Linked DNA regions of Bombyx mori. The protein of the gene in region 2 purifies or fractionates together with the protein of the main gene of each other region. This does not show direct contact. Links are inferred from orthologs where the notes say so. Each region holds a gene or a part of one and is shown on either strand. Other genes may lie near its edges.

Region 1 (8,007 bases), on a different chromosome or scaffold from region 2:
TTATTTTAGATACAAATTATTTACCCGTACGGTTGCCGCTTGTTTTGTTCGTTTTCTAGTACATTTAACAATAATTTTGTAATGGTTTTTCAGAGGGTTGTTGCAATTTTACCTTATACAAAAATGCCCGACACTGATGAATTGACTTTTCAAAAGGGCGACATCTTTTTTGTACATAATGACATGGGTGATGGATGGCTCTGGGTCACAGCTCATAGGTAAGAAAAAAATCTTACATATCTCTTGAAATTTTCTTAAAAGTACTAGTAAATTTTGTACAGGCTTTTATTGTTGTGAGTTTTCCACATCAGATTTTTATGGTACTGTGAAGTATGGTATTTTTAATAAGTAAACAAAATATCTAGTAATAATATGAATATGATTGCCAAATTGAATTATAATTAACATCATTTTATTTAGGACCGGTGAACAGGGAATGATATTTAGAGAGTTGGTTGAAGATCTGGATCCTTCTATCGATCCAAACACGGTATTTTCGTGGTTCCATCCAAACTGTACCAAGAGTGAAGCAGTTGACATGCTAGTCAAGGCGGGCCCTGGAAGTTTCCTCGTCAGACCATCTGATAATTCTCCAGGAGACTATTCTTTGTTCTTTCACATTAACAACCAGATTCAAAGGTTCAGGATTGAGAAGAAGGGCGTCAGGTACTTGATGGGAGGTCGAACCTTTGAGTGCTTGGATGCTGTGATCAATAGATATAGGAAAGAACAAATTGTTGAAGGACACACTTTAGGTCAGCCGGTGAGTGTACATTCTATGAGCAATTTGTCACGTGGCAATTCTGGAATTTTATGTTAATTTTGATAATGAAATTCCTTTAGCTTATTGCGGAAGGTCACACTATCGAGCCGCAGCAAAGTACAACAGGGGCTGCAGCTGAAAAGATATATGCAACATTACGCGAATGTCGAGATCAGATCGGTCTGAAAAAGACGAAAGGAATCAAGCACTATGGGTATCTGAACAAGAAATCTGACAAGGGTGCTAAAAAATGGAAGCCTTTATACTGTGTGCTATTACAGGAAGGAACCGACACACATTTGTATTTTTACGATTCGCCGAAAAGGACCAAACCAAAAGGACTCATCGATCTATCATGCGCATATCTTTACCAGGTTGGTAATTAAATTTGAGACAAACATTTTATTTATTATAGTTTTCGTCTACTTAAATAATGTTACAAAATCGTGTTCGTACATTAAGATTAGGTTAAAATGTTTTTGTGTTGTTGACGTCAAATTACCTTTGTTATTATTACTTGTATGTTTGTAATGTTTGCATCATCCAAAAAATATTGAGCCGATTTTTTATCCTTGGCCCTTTCACGTTTCATATAAACTTCAAAGTTTGTTTTTACTATGCTAGGAACTGGAGATATAGGCAATTATATAAAAAAAAAAAGTTGCACTTATTTTAATTCATTTGTACTTTCTATTTAAGGCCAGTGAAATTATGGGACATTTCTTGTATCAACTAAAACTATAACGCTAAAGATACAATAAATTTTATTAGTGTAATGATTGTCTCATAAAAATTAAAAACATACATATTATTTACAGAAAATTAATATAAAATTTGATTACAGGTTCACGAATCACTTTGGGAAAAGGAGTTTTGTTTCCAACTCGTCGAACGTGCCCTACCATGTCTCTCTACACATACATTCTTGGCTGCCAATACTGCTACTGAGGAGAGGGCCTGGATTGAGGCTCTAAGACCTTTATGTGTGCCGCAGCAAGCACGACACCAGTGCAAGGTAATATCAATAATAATCAAAATATTGTAAATACTAAAGTGAGTTGTTTTGTCTTTACGTAGAAAAGAAAGATAAATAGAACCCGCCGACGGCCCTTTGTGTTTTCGTGCCTAATATATTGCAACAGTAATAACACAATTAGATGAAATTATATAATTCTTATTATAAACTAGCGACCCGCCCTAGCTTCGCTTCGGAAACATTAAATTTTATTATTGATAGTTGAGTACCGCGATGTTACCGGGGCAAAACTAGTATAAAAAAAGTAGCCTAAGTTACTCCTTATATCATCAGCTACCTATTACTGAAAGTCTCGTCAAAATCGGTCCCGCCATTCCAGAGATTAGCCGGAACAAACAGCCAGACAGACAAAAATTGTTATTTTGGTGTATCTACCGTATATATATTTATTTATTTATAAATAAATAATAAATAATAAAATAAATATATTCATATGCATGTAGTAAAAAGAGGCTATTTCAATATTACACACAGACACTCCAATTTTATTTATATGTATAGATTATTAATTAGCCATCTGTTGAAAATTCCGTGAAAAGAGCTAGTCTGGTTTTGAAGTGGCGATATGAGGTACAAGTTTGCATCAGGTGGGGCGCGTGTCGTGGGTGCGTTGGCTGCGCGTGCGTTGCCTGACGGCGCACCGGCTGCCCGCCCGCCTGGCGCCGCGCCCGCACCTGCGCGTGCTGCTGGGCGCCGCGCCCGTCGCCCGCACCCGCCCGCGCCCCTCGCCCGATCCGCACTGGGACGACGAGTTCTTCTTCGAGTTAGTACTATTATTATTTACTAACTTTTGCCCGCGACTTCGTCCGCGTGGAATAGTTCACAATTAATGCTTTTTTATTTGTAAACAAATTTGGTTAGCATAAAAAGCGTTATAGTGAGCCAACCTTAACATATAGCCGTACTCTCACATACTACATATGCCGTACTTCATATGCTGTCGCGGATTTTTTTTTTATCTTTTAAAGGGGAACAATTCTGTCATACATTATTTTAGCGAAACTTTAACCGTTTCCGCAGCGCACGCAGCGGAAGCTCTCAAAAGGGAAAAATACCCCGATTTTGAAACATTATCTATTGTTGCTCCGCTTGCATTGGTCTTAGGTCTTAGCGTGATGTTATATAACCTATAGCCTTCCTCAGTAAATGAGCTATCTGACACTGAAAGAATTTTTCAAATCGGACCAGTAGTTCCGGAGATTAGCGCGTTCAAACAAACGAAACTCTTCAGCTTTATAATATTAGTATAGATTTATCGCTGCACAAGACAGAAGTTATGGACACAGGAGCTGTCAGAGTGCGTGCTGGCTGCCTTCTGACTGTGAAGTACTCTTAAACCTCGCTGAAAATGTTTTCGTTCTTGGACTCTTCTGCAAAAAGTTATTTCCAGTTTGATAATATCTGATTTTTTTTTAACATTATGAGTTAATAAACTGGTACTACTTTTAATTTCAAATAATTATTGTGATGCTAAATGTTACAACACTTTTACAGTGATATGCCTCCAGATGTAACTTCATTTACAATTACCGTACATAATACAGGGAAAAGAGGAAAAGAATCTGAAGTAAGTATTAAAATTATTATTATAATAATCTGTTTCCGCTGTTCTAGAGGTTCATTGAGAGTTTCCCTTAAATTATTTTTATTTTTTCAATTCGTTTCTCGATAGATAGTAATTACAGTTTTTATGCGTAATCATAGGGTGAACGAGCTTGCGGCCCACCTCGTGTTAAGTGATTACCGAAACCCATAGATATCCCACCGTGAATGCCGCCTACCACCTTGGGACTTCAGGTCCATGTCTCAATTGTAATTACTAATAATCTACTTTTTGCAAGTTTGATTTTTATTACACAATGCTATATGTTTCATCGTGGAAATCATTCGTGAAACACCAGTGAATAAGGAATTAATTATTTCATTAGAAATATTGGTACTAGGCTCCTACTATTACTCCATCCACATCCTGGTCTATCTCTATCCAACTCTAATGGTATTTTCTATCCGAATATAGGTGGCTGAACTGACTATAGAACTCGCAAATTTGGCAAACGGTGAAGAAATAGAAGAATGGTATCCCTTAGTAGGAATGACTCCTATTGGGGAGTGGGGATCCTTGAGACTGCGGATAAGGTAGGATGTACTAATAGTAATAATGCCCCAGTTTCAAATAATCAAATAAATTTATTTGGCTACTTGGAACTGGCATATGCTAGAAATAAATACTTTAATTTTGATATAAATTAAATTTTTTGGTGTGTGTGTGTGTATGCTCCTAATTTTCATTTTGGCAAAATTGCAGGTATATGCAAGAATTAGTAATGCCTCGTGAAGAGTACAACCCGCTTCGTCAATTGTTGCTGGAACCGGGCATTCCGGCTGTGAAGGCGTTAGCAGATCTTTGCAGGACCGATCGACAACCTTTGGCAACATGTTAGTTTTATTAATCCATATTGTTTCTCCGTTTTATACATTTGTTTTAATATAGATTTTCTTTGTTGTATTATCCGCTCAACTTTGTTACAGTATAATTGTATAATGTAACGTATTTAAAGGCAGAAAAGAAAATTAAATTTCAAATCGTACTGGTAAATACACGAATGAGCGCTTTTTTTTTTTTCGCCTTTTATTATAGCCATAAATCTATTAGGTTAAGTCGGCTAATGAGCACTTTAAAATACAAAAACTTTCCAGCAATTTATGTCCATTGTGTATATTTTCATTTATTATCAACACAATAGAAGATGTATGATTGATGGAATGACGGCGATTATGCCCAATGATGGTGAAATAAAAAGTTTGCTAGGACTATTATATTACAATATAGTATACAGATGAGCTAAGAAAAGTTAGCTATTCTAATTAGTCAATGAATTACTTGCAAATGTCATCAGATAGTAGCTGATTTATCTGTGCAAATAATTGTGTAACGGGCGTGCGTGTGTACGTTACAGCGGTGCTGAACACGTTCGCGGAGTGCGGGCGCGGCGCGGAGCTGGCCCGCGAGCTCACGTGCGCGGAGGTGGCGCGCGAGGGCGACCACAAGACGCTGTTCCGCGGCGCCTCGCTCGCCACCGCCGTGCTCGACGAGTTCATGCGCGCCCACTGCAAGCCCTTCCTACAGGTCACCTCTTTGTACTACCAACTATTTAGAAAATATTTTTTTTTTATTGCCCATTGTAGGCAGACGAGCATACGGCCCACCTGATGGTGAGTGATTACCGGCACCCAAGCCGCTGCCTTGTTTAAGCAATGGGGAGAATTGATTTTTTTTTAAATTAATTGTGCATCAAAATTAACACTAAACATAACATATCGGATCAAATGACCCATTTTGAACTTTTACATTTGAAAAGCACGTATCATGTTATTGCTTTTGCACGTTTGACTTCATGGCTTTTTCTTACCGATTTAATCTACTGTTATTTCTTTGTTTTGTTTTAATTTTTTTGAGTAATACTTGTCGTATAGGTACCATTATCTACCCGCTATGGTAGAAAAAGGTATCAGTAAGTGTTGGTATGATTAGTGTTAAAGTATAGATTCCATTACATTTATGTGTGCAGTTCCATATGTTTCAATTTCAAATAATTTATTCACCTAAATAATATTTATGTAATGACTAGCCATTGCCATAGTAATAACATATAATACATATCAGATATACATATGTTTTATAACATAATCAAATAAAAGCACACAGTCATGCAAATAAAGTTAATAGAAAATCTATAAAAATAAATGATTGTGGTACCTAATCACAATAATAATTTAACAAATAGTTGTGTTAAATCAACAGTAAAAAAATTAAGAGAATTCATGTCACTGCATGTCCCTGTTGTGATTGAAATTAAAAATATGTATTTTTTTTATTCAGGCGGCGATTTCGGAAACCATTCAAAAGCTGATTGATTCTAAACAGACAGCAGAATTGAATCCCACTAAGATGGATTCACCTGACGACGCGTGTAACAATGCTGAATTTTTACTTATGATTCTCGATCAGGTAAAAATAATTAAGAACGAATATTACATACACACACTATTAATTGATGGGTTCTTACCACTATCTTCACACATCGTGACATTACGATATTTTGGTGGTATTGCAAGTGCCATGACCACGGGTAGACTGAAGACTAGCAGCACTTTTTTTTAAACAATCGTGCATCCTATATTTTCGGATTCCTCACGATAACCAGTTCGTGGAACGCTTTGTCCTGCAAGGAAGGGTGAAAAGCACGGTGTGCCTTGGACTGACATTGGGGGGCTTGTTAAAAGAGTCCAGTAGAATGGCCTCGATCAAGGAGAGGCAGCGGGCGTCGTAAAATATGTCAGATTTATCTCTTCAAAGCTACAGAACGATCACGACCGCTCTATCAAGAGTGAAACGAGTGAAAGTTAAGAATAAGAAAATATCCCAAATATAAAAATAATAAAAGTAAAGGCGAAAATGATGTTAATTATATTAAATACAGAGTGAACCGCGCGCATGGGTATCACCACCCTACCTATTTCTGCCGTGAAGCAGTAATGCGTTTCAGTTTTAAGGGTGGGGCAGCCGCTGTAACTATACTTGAGACCTTAGAACTTATATTGGGTGGCGGTTTACATTGTGGATGTTTATGGGCTCCAGTAACCACTTAACACCAGGTGGGCTGTGAGCTCGTCCACCCACGTTGAAAATAAAGTTGGTATAAATTGAATATTGTTGTCCTTTATCACATTGAATTAAAAAAAAGATTATGACATTTCAGATTACCCTATCAATATTTACTTCACCGGAAGCATGCCCTAAGCCGGTGAGATATCTGTGCGGGTGTCTGCAGCGAGCCGCGGTCGCCAAGTGGCCCAACGAACGCTTTGTACGCACCAGGGTCGTCTCAGGTATGAAATCAAAATTCGAATATGTAACGAAATTGTATGAACACGATGCGTTGTACTGTTTTAACAAATTAAGTTAGATTAAGGTATCTGTTGTTGAATTTTAAAAACAAATACCATCAACATTGAAATGCTTTTTTTTATTTTTTTATTGCTCATATGGGTGGACGAGCTCACAGCCCACCTGGTGTTAAGTGATTACTGGAGCCCATAAACATCTATGACGTAAAAGCCGCCACCCACCGTGAGATATAACCTCTATGAAATCTATATATATATAAATGAATTGCTGTTCGTTAGTCTCGCTAAAACTCGAGAACGGCTGGACCGATTTGGCTAATTTTGGTCTTGAATTGTTTGTGGAAGTCAAGAGAAGGTTTAAAAGGTAGATAAATGTGAAAATGCTCGGAATTAAATAAAAATAACAATTTTGTTTTTCCTTTGATGTGTCCCCCGTCGTCGGACGGATTCCTTTTGTTTGTTTTAAGTTTATTTTAGACAAAAGTTTAGGTCTTTTATTTATCGATTGAGGCACTGCAAAGTCTGCCGGGTCAGCTAGTCCTAAATAATAAATCATATTTATATCTGGTTTAGTGCAGTGTAATGAGATAATGTACCTTCCGCAGGGTTCATATTCCTGCGGCTGATCTGTCCGGCGCTGGTGGAGCCGCGAGCGTGGACGCTGGTGCAGCGGGCGCCGCCCCCGCACGCGCAGCGCTCGCTGCTCATGGTCGCCAAGTGTCTGCAGAACCTCGCCAACCTCGTCGAGTTCGGAGCCAAGGTTATAATTGCTACCAGCTATTTCAGAGCTCACTCATGACTAGGTTCCTGTAGGCATTCAGCATTGGTTTAAACGAGACTGCATCTATTAGTTTATATGTATAGAATATTTTTTTCATACTTTACCATCTGCACGTCTCGTAAAAATTTATTCGCTTGGTGTTTCCAGCGCTAATTAGGATTAGTTGGCTTGTCACCGGCCGTTCTTAACACTATCGGGAATTTATTTATTTATTTATTGCATAGTTGGGTGGACGAGTTCACAGGCCACCTGGTGTTAAGTGGTTACCGAAACCCATAGACATCTACAACGCAAATGCCGCCATCCATCGTGAGATATAAGTTCTAAGGTGTCAGTATAGTTACAACGGCTGCCCCACCCTTCAAACCGAAACGCATTACTGCTTCACGGCAGAAATAGACGGGGTGGTGGTACCCACCCGCGCGGACTCACAAGAGGTGCTACCACCAGTAAAAGTACTTTCATGAAATTTCGAAGATATGCTCACGACACCACTGTCGCGTCGCCAGATGACAAAGT
Region 2 (8,478 bases):
CAAACCTTCTCTGGACTTCCTTTTTTTTATTGCTTACATGTGTTGACGAGCTCACAGCCCACCTGGTGTTAAGTGGTTACTGGAGCCCATAGACATCTACAACGTAAATGCGCCACACACCTTGAGATACAAGTTCCAAGGTCTCAGTATAGTTACAACGGCTGCCCCACCCTTCAAACCGAAACGCATTTCTGCTTCACGGCAGAAATAGGCGGGGCGGTGGTACCTACCCGTGCGGACTCACAAGAGGTCCTACCACCAGTAATTACGCAAATCATAATTTTGCGGGTTTGATTTTTATTACACGATATTATTCCTTCACCGTGGAAGTCAATCGTGAACATTTGTGAAGTACGTATTTCATTAGAAAAATTGGTGCCCGCCTGCGGGATTCGAACACCGGTGCATCGCTAGATACGAATGCACCGGACGTCTTATCCTTTAGGCCACGACGACTTCAAATAATTCAAGTCAATTCAATTCAATTCAATTCAACCTCAAATAATTCAAGACCAAAATTAGCCAAATCGGTCCAGCCGTTCTCGAGTTTTAGCGAGACTAACGAACAGCAATTCATTTTTATTAATATAGATTTTCAAAGTTATCCTGCTTATAGAAAACCATTGATTTGATGGTTGTTGCCTTATAATAATTGCAAGCAGGGAATACCTATATTATGTGTCTCTAATTTCATGGAGTGAAAAAGTGGAGTGACAATTTTGTTGTCTTGTTTTTTTAAAAGTCCTTTCACATTTGTTATAAGGAATAAATCGTGTTTGTAAAGTGCGATATACATACTTACTTATATCATCTACTCAACAACTGTTTATTGACATTATTTATGCATATTTGTCTTCATAACAGGATTTAAAAATTAAATACCAGATATTTCACAGACTAATTAAATAAAAAATGAAGTCCGAAATAAACTAAAATAAAAAATAAATAGTAATATTAATCTAAGAGGTAGTTTTACCAAGAATACTTAGATTGAAATAAAGTTTTAAAACCTAAATTATAAAAAAAAAATAGAACAATTTAAACTTTAACATTGAATAGGTACAGATAAGACAATGAAAAAATATATCCTTTGGGACCTTGAAACTGAGACAGACAAGAGAATATTATACCTATATGGCAACTATTTATAAGTAAAACATCTTAGGTGCAATATTACAATTCTCGCATTGACGTCGTTCTGTTACTGTAATATTATTTCTATTCAAACTGAATCATTTATTCCTCGGTTTACAAAAAATGTCCAATTACCTATTTATTTTTAACACACTATACTTATGACTATTAGCGTTTTTTATCTTACCTATTTGCTGGTAGCGAGGCTATTACAGCTACGCGCGGACGGGTAGGTGACCTCACGGACTCAACCTGAGAGAATTTGCAAACACTAGCCCTATAAAGAGCAGTGTTTCGCCGTCGGATCTACCTCCACGCGCATACGCATACGAACCCTCCCTCTCATTCCTCCCTTCATCAGTCCACCCCTGCCCTAAGTGGCAGGGAGTTTCTGCCCGGGCAGTGGGGTTTGCCCCGAGGCCCGTTCCGTGCCCCCGTAAGGGGGTACGACGACCCTTCTTCTTCTTCTTCTTCGGATCTACCACCGGATCGTAATCACGACCTCCTGAGAAGATCGGCCGAGAAACTCAGTGGATTGTGTCTATAGATTAGTTCATTTTAATTAGTAACTCTTGGTAATAAACGACGAGTAAGTCGAAGAAGCGTGCTAAGGCTTTCTTAAGATACTTACGTACCGGTTCTAAAGATTAGTCGTGAAGGCAGACATTATACAGAAAACGGAAATAAACGGAAAAAAATTGAAAATGAAATAGGTTGACAATAAAAGAATAAAAATTTACTTATGTTACTTAAGGTTTTGTCTTTTCCTATTTATGTAAGCTTATACTCAAAATTTTGATATTTGTATTTGCGCTAATGCCTTGAAAAAAAACATTTATTTCATGTGCGTGTCTGGAATTAACTCTGCTCATTTAAGCTTACACTGTGGTTAACACTATTGATTGACCTGCTTTAAACGAGATTCGAAAAGAATCAACAACGGTATACAACGGCCCAAATATACAATATAACAATAGGTCGTGTAAACAAAAAAAAATCTACACATAGGTATCATCACAAAATAAAAACGTATATGTATGCATATAGGTTTTCCATTTCAAAACACACGTTTGCCTTTCAATTTATTACAAATTACATACATACTCTAAGTATTAAATCTATTTGATTACAATTACTACTATGTTTTGAAATTCATCAATGACCTTTCTACGTTACACTTCTGTACTTAATTAACACAATATTATTAGAATCGATATCCAAAAAAGAATTGTTTTGTTTTGGTCTTCGATCGCATAACATCAAGTGGATCATGATTCGTCTGCCTATTTAAGAAAAACATTAAGCGATATATTCATTAACACTACACATTAGCTGATTGATTTGAAGAGAGATTAAAAAAAAGTATACTAAAACTATGAAAATCTGCGGTATAGAAATCTTTATCAATAAATACATGCTTATAACAAACATACATACGGTGATGGGTTATTTGCGAATGAGCATATATCTATATTGTGAATAACTACTAATGTACTACTAAAATATCAAGGGTAAAGGTTTAAAATGTAAGGTCTATCTATTTCAATTTTACCGCCAATATCGTTTATATTTTTTAGTAAGTTGGCGGGATCCCATGATCTTAATTTCCTGGTTGAGCCTTTGCTCGCTCACCTGTCCAAGTAAAACTGGAAAGGCATCCGGGCCACCAGTAAAAGCATTCAATCATAAAAAAATGATCTTTATTTATTTAACATAGTACTTTTTTTTTAATTGGGCTATCATTATTTAATAGAACGTCTCAAACTTATCAACATGTAAAAAAAAACAATACAAAACTATAGGTTCATACTGTCATAAAATTTAGATTTCAATAAATTGAAAAAGTTTATAATTGAGCCTCTTGACGTAAGAAATGTCAGTCAAAGAATTGAATGCTAAAACCAGCTAAAACGGAACGTAATCATCCCCGTCTCAACCATCTCATCATTTATATATTAAGTGTATAATCTATGCATCTCATTTGGTTTGGAAATGTCAAACAAACTAAATATCAAAGTGTGTGTAATGTAGAAATAGCCAGTAATAATGTATTTTAAACTCGGGTGCCTTATTTATATGTAGAGAAATATTAGCAGTCGCTCTTTTATTTCATGCGTTGTTCACTTTCGCCACAGTTTGCTTGCATCCGGCGGTGAGGGCGGAAGTGCAATGAAGTCGGTCTGCTTCAACGGGGCCAAAGATAGGCTCATACACGAGGCAGACCAGCTTATCTCCTACATAGAAAGAGGCTCTACCGTTTTAAAATTCTTCCCTCGTAAGAGACCCGAAAGGCGTGCACTTTGCGTGAGAAGAGAGACCCATCAAGTTCTTTGGTCTCGAATCAATGCCCCTCAGAGACAGGGCTACGAAGGGGCTCTCGATATCCGTGATGTCAAAGAAGTTCGCACTGGAAAATCATCCAAAGACTTTGAGCGTTGGCCTGAAGAAACCAAACGTCTTGAAAGTTCAAAATGCTTTACCATTTATTATGGAACTGAATTTAAACTTCGCTGTGCATCATTTGTTGGTATGTTGAAGTAGTTTATAAACATTTCTAAATGTGTGAGTGCGCGGACTGAGTTCTGTTAATTTTATGTTTCCTCTATAAATGGATCTGAGTCACTATTTACAATCTTTCAGCTCAAACAGATAAAGAGTGTGAAGCTTGGGTGAAAGGTGTACTGTATCTAATAGCAGAAGCTGTCAGTGCATCATATCCTCTACAGATTGAAAGATGGCTCCGGAAAGAATTCTATTCTATTGAAAACTCCCATGAAAAGTGAGTTATTTTTAAAAATGTGAATGTAAAAATTGCCAGTAATTGTTATTTTACCATTCCATATGTGATTTCAATGATTAATTATGTTTCTTTCTTGCCTATTTTGGTACATTAGCAGCAATTGTTATTATTTTCCAGTAAACTAGAGTATATATAGATCTCAGTAAGTAGTAATTGATGAAAGTAAACTTAATTAGCTTTTTTACATAAATGGAACATATTGTAATGTAATTTATTGTAAGGCAGGCTTTGTCAACACATTTTTAGTAATAGGTATGTAAAAGTAACAAACTATTACCAAATGATCATAAAGTAAAATAAATTGTAATAGAAAACAATGCAAAGCTTGCAATGTAATATTAAGTTAAACTCAAGTTATATTGCTTTATTAGTCTTTCAATTGTCTGTTACATATTTTCATTATTTAGTGTGAGTAAATATGAAAAACCTATTGTTATATTAATTTTCTTATTTCAATTTAATTAGCTTGAAAATGCATATATATTGTAAATGTAATATACAAAAATCATTTTAGAATAACATTAAAAGAGGTCAAAGCTTTTCTACCAAAAATTAATTGTAAAATTTCAACAAGTAAGCTTCGAGATGTATTCCAAGATGTTGACACTGAAAAAAGAGGGGAGATTGGCTTTGATGATTTTGCTGTTCTTTATCAGAAGCTAATTTTTGATGAGAATGTAAGTATTCATCTAATTTACTAAAAAGTAGGTTATCATAAACAACAAATCTAGTATTTCTTTAAATGTTACTAATTAAACTTATTCAAACATCAAACTTGTTATTTATTAAGATAAATGAGTAGATGAGCTCTTGGCTCACAAGGTATGTAATCATCAAAGCTTATAGGTATAACGAGAAGCCATTAGTTTCTTAATCTGAAATATGGATCAGTCCATCAATAGTTTGAAACCTTTGATTGTTCTAGGGTAGAAGACATGATGTCTTGATGTTTTTGGTTGCAAATTTTTTAAAACTGTACATTTTTTAAAACTGTAAATTATTTAATACATTTTTCTGGTGGGCAATATTATATAGTATTAGATATTATGTTGCTTCCTCAAAAAACTGTCAACTATTCTATTAGAGGGTAAGAGCTGTTTAGGAAGATTATAATATGGATGTAGTGATAGTAACTCAAATTAATCCATGTCTCACATAAATTATCTTAATGATGGCTTCATCAGAAGTCGTGAAAAAATCTGTGACCTTTTATTATACTCTCATAAACAAACAATATATTATGAATGCATTAAGAACCATATTGGCTTAGAAATCAGGCAATGCCACATTCACTGAATTAATAAGAAAGTAATTTTTTATGCATTTAACTCCTTGTCCACATTATAATATTTTAATATAAACTTATAGACAGTGATGTATGTAAAATATATTTTTTTCAGAATGTTCAGGACATATTTGATAAATACTCAGTCTATTGTTCTAATGGTACTACTATTACTCTTAGAGAGTTTCAAAATTTCCTTAGAGATGAACAGCATGATAACCTTGGTGATGATGAAGTACAAGCCTCACAGTTCATCCGTGATTACTTAAGAGATCCACAAAGAGACATCTATGAACCTTATTTCACTTTAAGCGAGGTAAATTAACTCAGCAGTGTGAAGTAGTACTTCTTGCATGGTGAAAATACTTTTTCTACAAAGTTTTGCTTCCATTTTGTTTTCTGTGACCTGCTACTGCCATTTTACTTTATACATAAGACGGTTATTAAGATTGTAGGTGATTCTGGTCTTACCTATAATTTCGAGCCTCTGAGTCTTTATGGAAGGCCTCAGTTCTCCCTGTTGCTGCCCACCATAAATGCAAACCTCTTTCCTACTACTTATAGTATGATACTTATAGTAGGAAAGAGGTTGTTGTACTGGGCATGCTATGGCTTTAAGAAACTGCAGCATGCCCAGTACACTCAATGGGCTTCCCCACTTTTTTTTTGCCATGGATACTACTGATGTCCAGGAGCAACCAGGTGGTATGTACGCTCAGCGTTTTCATGATGATAACACATTTAAATTATGAGCGCCTGCTTTGCAAGCTGTTCTATTCTCGTTATCTAAAGCTGTATTCTTATACCAAATATAATGTATAAATTATTTCTAAATAATCAATTACAATATTTCTCATTCCACTAATAGAGATATTCAAACTTTTTTTAAATTTTTCTTTAAATTACCTAATTGCAGTTTGTCGAGATGCTGTACTCCAAGCAGAATTCCATCTATGACAGTCAGTATGATAAGGTTACACAAGATATGACCAGGCCTTTGTCACACTATTGGATATCTTCTTCTCATAACACGTAAGCATAAATGTTATTATATTGATGAAACTTTTCGTGGATTGCATATCATGCATTAAGTGGTTCTACATATTGTGTTATTGTAGGTATCTGACAGGTGACCAGTTTTCAAGTGAATCATCACTGGAGGCCTACGTGCGGTGCTTGAGGTCAGGCTGTCGTTGTATTGAGCTAGATTGTTGGGATGGTCCTGACGGCACACCTTTTATTTATCACGGGCACACACTGACAACGAAAATAAGGTTTATGGATGTACTGCGAACAATAAAAGAACATGCATTCATCACATCTGAATATCCATTAATTTTGTCTATCGAAGACAACTGCTCACTCCCACAGCAAAGACGAATGGCGAGCGCATTTCAAGACGTATTCGGTGACCTTCTTCTTGTTCATCCAATGGATAAGAATGAAACATCACTTCCCTCTCCTCATGACTTACGCAGAAAAATAATCCTGAAACATAAAAAATTACCTGAAGGTGCTGAAGAAAGTTCTTTCGCAGTACGTCAAGAAGAAGGAAAAGATTTAGACCTACGAAATTCGATCAAAAATGGTATATTGCATTTGGAAGATCCTGTCGACAAAGAATGGAAGCCTCACGCCTTCGTGCTCACCGAGAACAAACTTTACTATACAGAGAGCTACAACAGTCAAGAAGAAACCGACACTGAAAGTGACGGAGACTCAGATGCGGAAAACGCTATTGTACCACAAGATGAATTACATTTCGCAGAATGTTGGTTCCACGGGAAGCTGGCAGGGAATCGACAAGAAGCCGAAGATTTGCTGAGAGCCCACGCCCATCTTGGCGATGGAACCTTTCTGGTGAGGGAGAGCGTTACTTTTGTCGGTGACTACTGTCTATCATTCTGGCGGCAAGGGAAAGTAAATCACTGCCGCATCAAGCTCAAACAGGAACGGGGGGTCACCAAGTTCTATCTGATAGATAGTATGTGTTTCGACAGCCTGTACAACCTCATCACCCATTATAGGTCACATCCTCTGAGGAGTCAAGTAAGACAATAAATAGTTTAGCATTTATTAACATGATCGCATGAAATATGCATGAGTTTTCTGCAAGGTAGCAGGGTTGCATGCATGCATTTTCTTTGAATGTTAATGGGGACTTGCATCAGTTGACCTTTTGTTATTTTCCTGCATATACATTAATATTAATGCGAAATTGATTTAACGTAATATAACACGGGAAAATTTCACAAGGAAAACCACAGAATTATTGTAATCAATGAAAGAAAATATGTAAATAATATCACACTTGTTATTGATTATTAAAAAAAAAAATTATTATAAGAACACATTTAATTTTGGTTTAATTTAATTTTGTTTCAGTTTTTATTTATTTATTTTATAAAAATAATATGTAAGCAAACCCTGTTTTACTAACATGTAAATTATATACAGTCAAACCTGGATAAGCGAGAGTTCAAGGGAGCACTATCTCATTCTCGCTTATAGAGGTTTCTCACTAACCCGAGTTTCTCACTAATGCACCCTCTGAATTTCATTTCGCGATTTTCCGGATTCAAACGCATTCACTATTTTAAGTTTATCACTTAATGACAGTACTTTAATTTTCCGTTTTGACATGATGCAGAACAGAACTTTCCTTCGCAATTAATTAACGATAAACTGTGTAAGTCCGACAAACAGGACGGTACACAGGCACACGTGTCCATTCGAAAAGAATGCGATAAAATAACAACGTTATTAGGTTCCATTAAATAGAATAGTTTCAATATTGACGAGAAAACAATACAAAAACAATGGTAGGAAGTTCCACGAAAGTTAAGAATTAGTTATAAAATAGCAGATGTTAAATTTGTAATTTGTTTTGTCATTTGTTCCTCCTAAATAATATAAATAAATAAAGTTCGACTGTCGCTTATAGAGGTATAGATACGTAGCAGTCTCACTTACGGAGGTCCATGAGAGAAAAACGACTCTCTTACAGAGGTTTCTGTTTCTCGCTAATAGAGGTTTTGGGAGCTTAAAATGACGGGCCCTGGCTATTACTCTCACTTATAGAGTTTTCTCACTTATCCAGTTCTCACTTACCCAGGTTTGACTGTATATGTAATATTTTACACAATATTTATAATAATATTATATATCTGGGTGATGGCTACTGAAATCGTAACTAAATACTTAGTAATAAATAAATTATTATCGCAAGGAGTTCCTGATAACGTTAAAGGAGCCAGTG

The links. The genes of interacting proteins can lie anywhere in the genome.
Region 1: the proteins of PLCg (region 2) and ras GTPase-activating protein 1 purify together in Homo sapiens (affinity purification with western blotting; 3 studies listed by BioGRID and IntAct, with this or other methods). This does not show direct contact. The link is inferred for Bombyx mori from reciprocal best matches to the Homo sapiens genes PLCG1 and RASA1.

The regions. Positions count from the first base shown.
Region 1 is NC_085127.1:9,728,596-9,736,602, forward strand, and holds part of ras GTPase-activating protein 1, read left to right. Parts: intron 1-93; coding exon 94-218; intron 219-420; coding exon 421-763; intron 764-843; coding exon 844-1,137; intron 1,138-1,607; coding exon 1,608-1,778; intron 1,779-2,386; coding exon 2,387-2,562; intron 2,563-3,293; coding exon 3,294-3,366; intron 3,367-3,816; coding exon 3,817-3,935; intron 3,936-4,104; coding exon 4,105-4,235; intron 4,236-4,756; coding exon 4,757-4,926; intron 4,927-5,679; coding exon 5,680-5,808; intron 5,809-6,559; coding exon 6,560-6,689; intron 6,690-7,312; coding exon 7,313-7,467; intron 7,468-8,007. UniProt on the Homo sapiens protein: Inhibitory regulator of the Ras-cyclic AMP pathway. Stimulates the GTPase of normal but not oncogenic Ras p21; this stimulation may be further increased in the presence of NCK1.
Region 2 is NC_085107.1:5,698,615-5,707,092, reverse strand, and holds the start of PLCg (phospholipase C gamma), read left to right. Parts: upstream 1-3,019; 5' UTR 3,020-3,150; exon of another isoform or gene 3,151-3,269; 5' UTR 3,270-3,303; coding exon 3,304-3,661; intron 3,662-3,774; coding exon 3,775-3,913; intron 3,914-4,448; coding exon 4,449-4,611; intron 4,612-5,334; coding exon 5,335-5,535; intron 5,536-6,135; coding exon 6,136-6,251; intron 6,252-6,337; coding exon 6,338-7,268; intron 7,269-8,448; coding exon 8,449-8,478. UniProt on the Homo sapiens protein: Mediates the production of the second messenger molecules diacylglycerol (DAG) and inositol 1,4,5-trisphosphate (IP3). Plays an important role in the regulation of intracellular signaling cascades.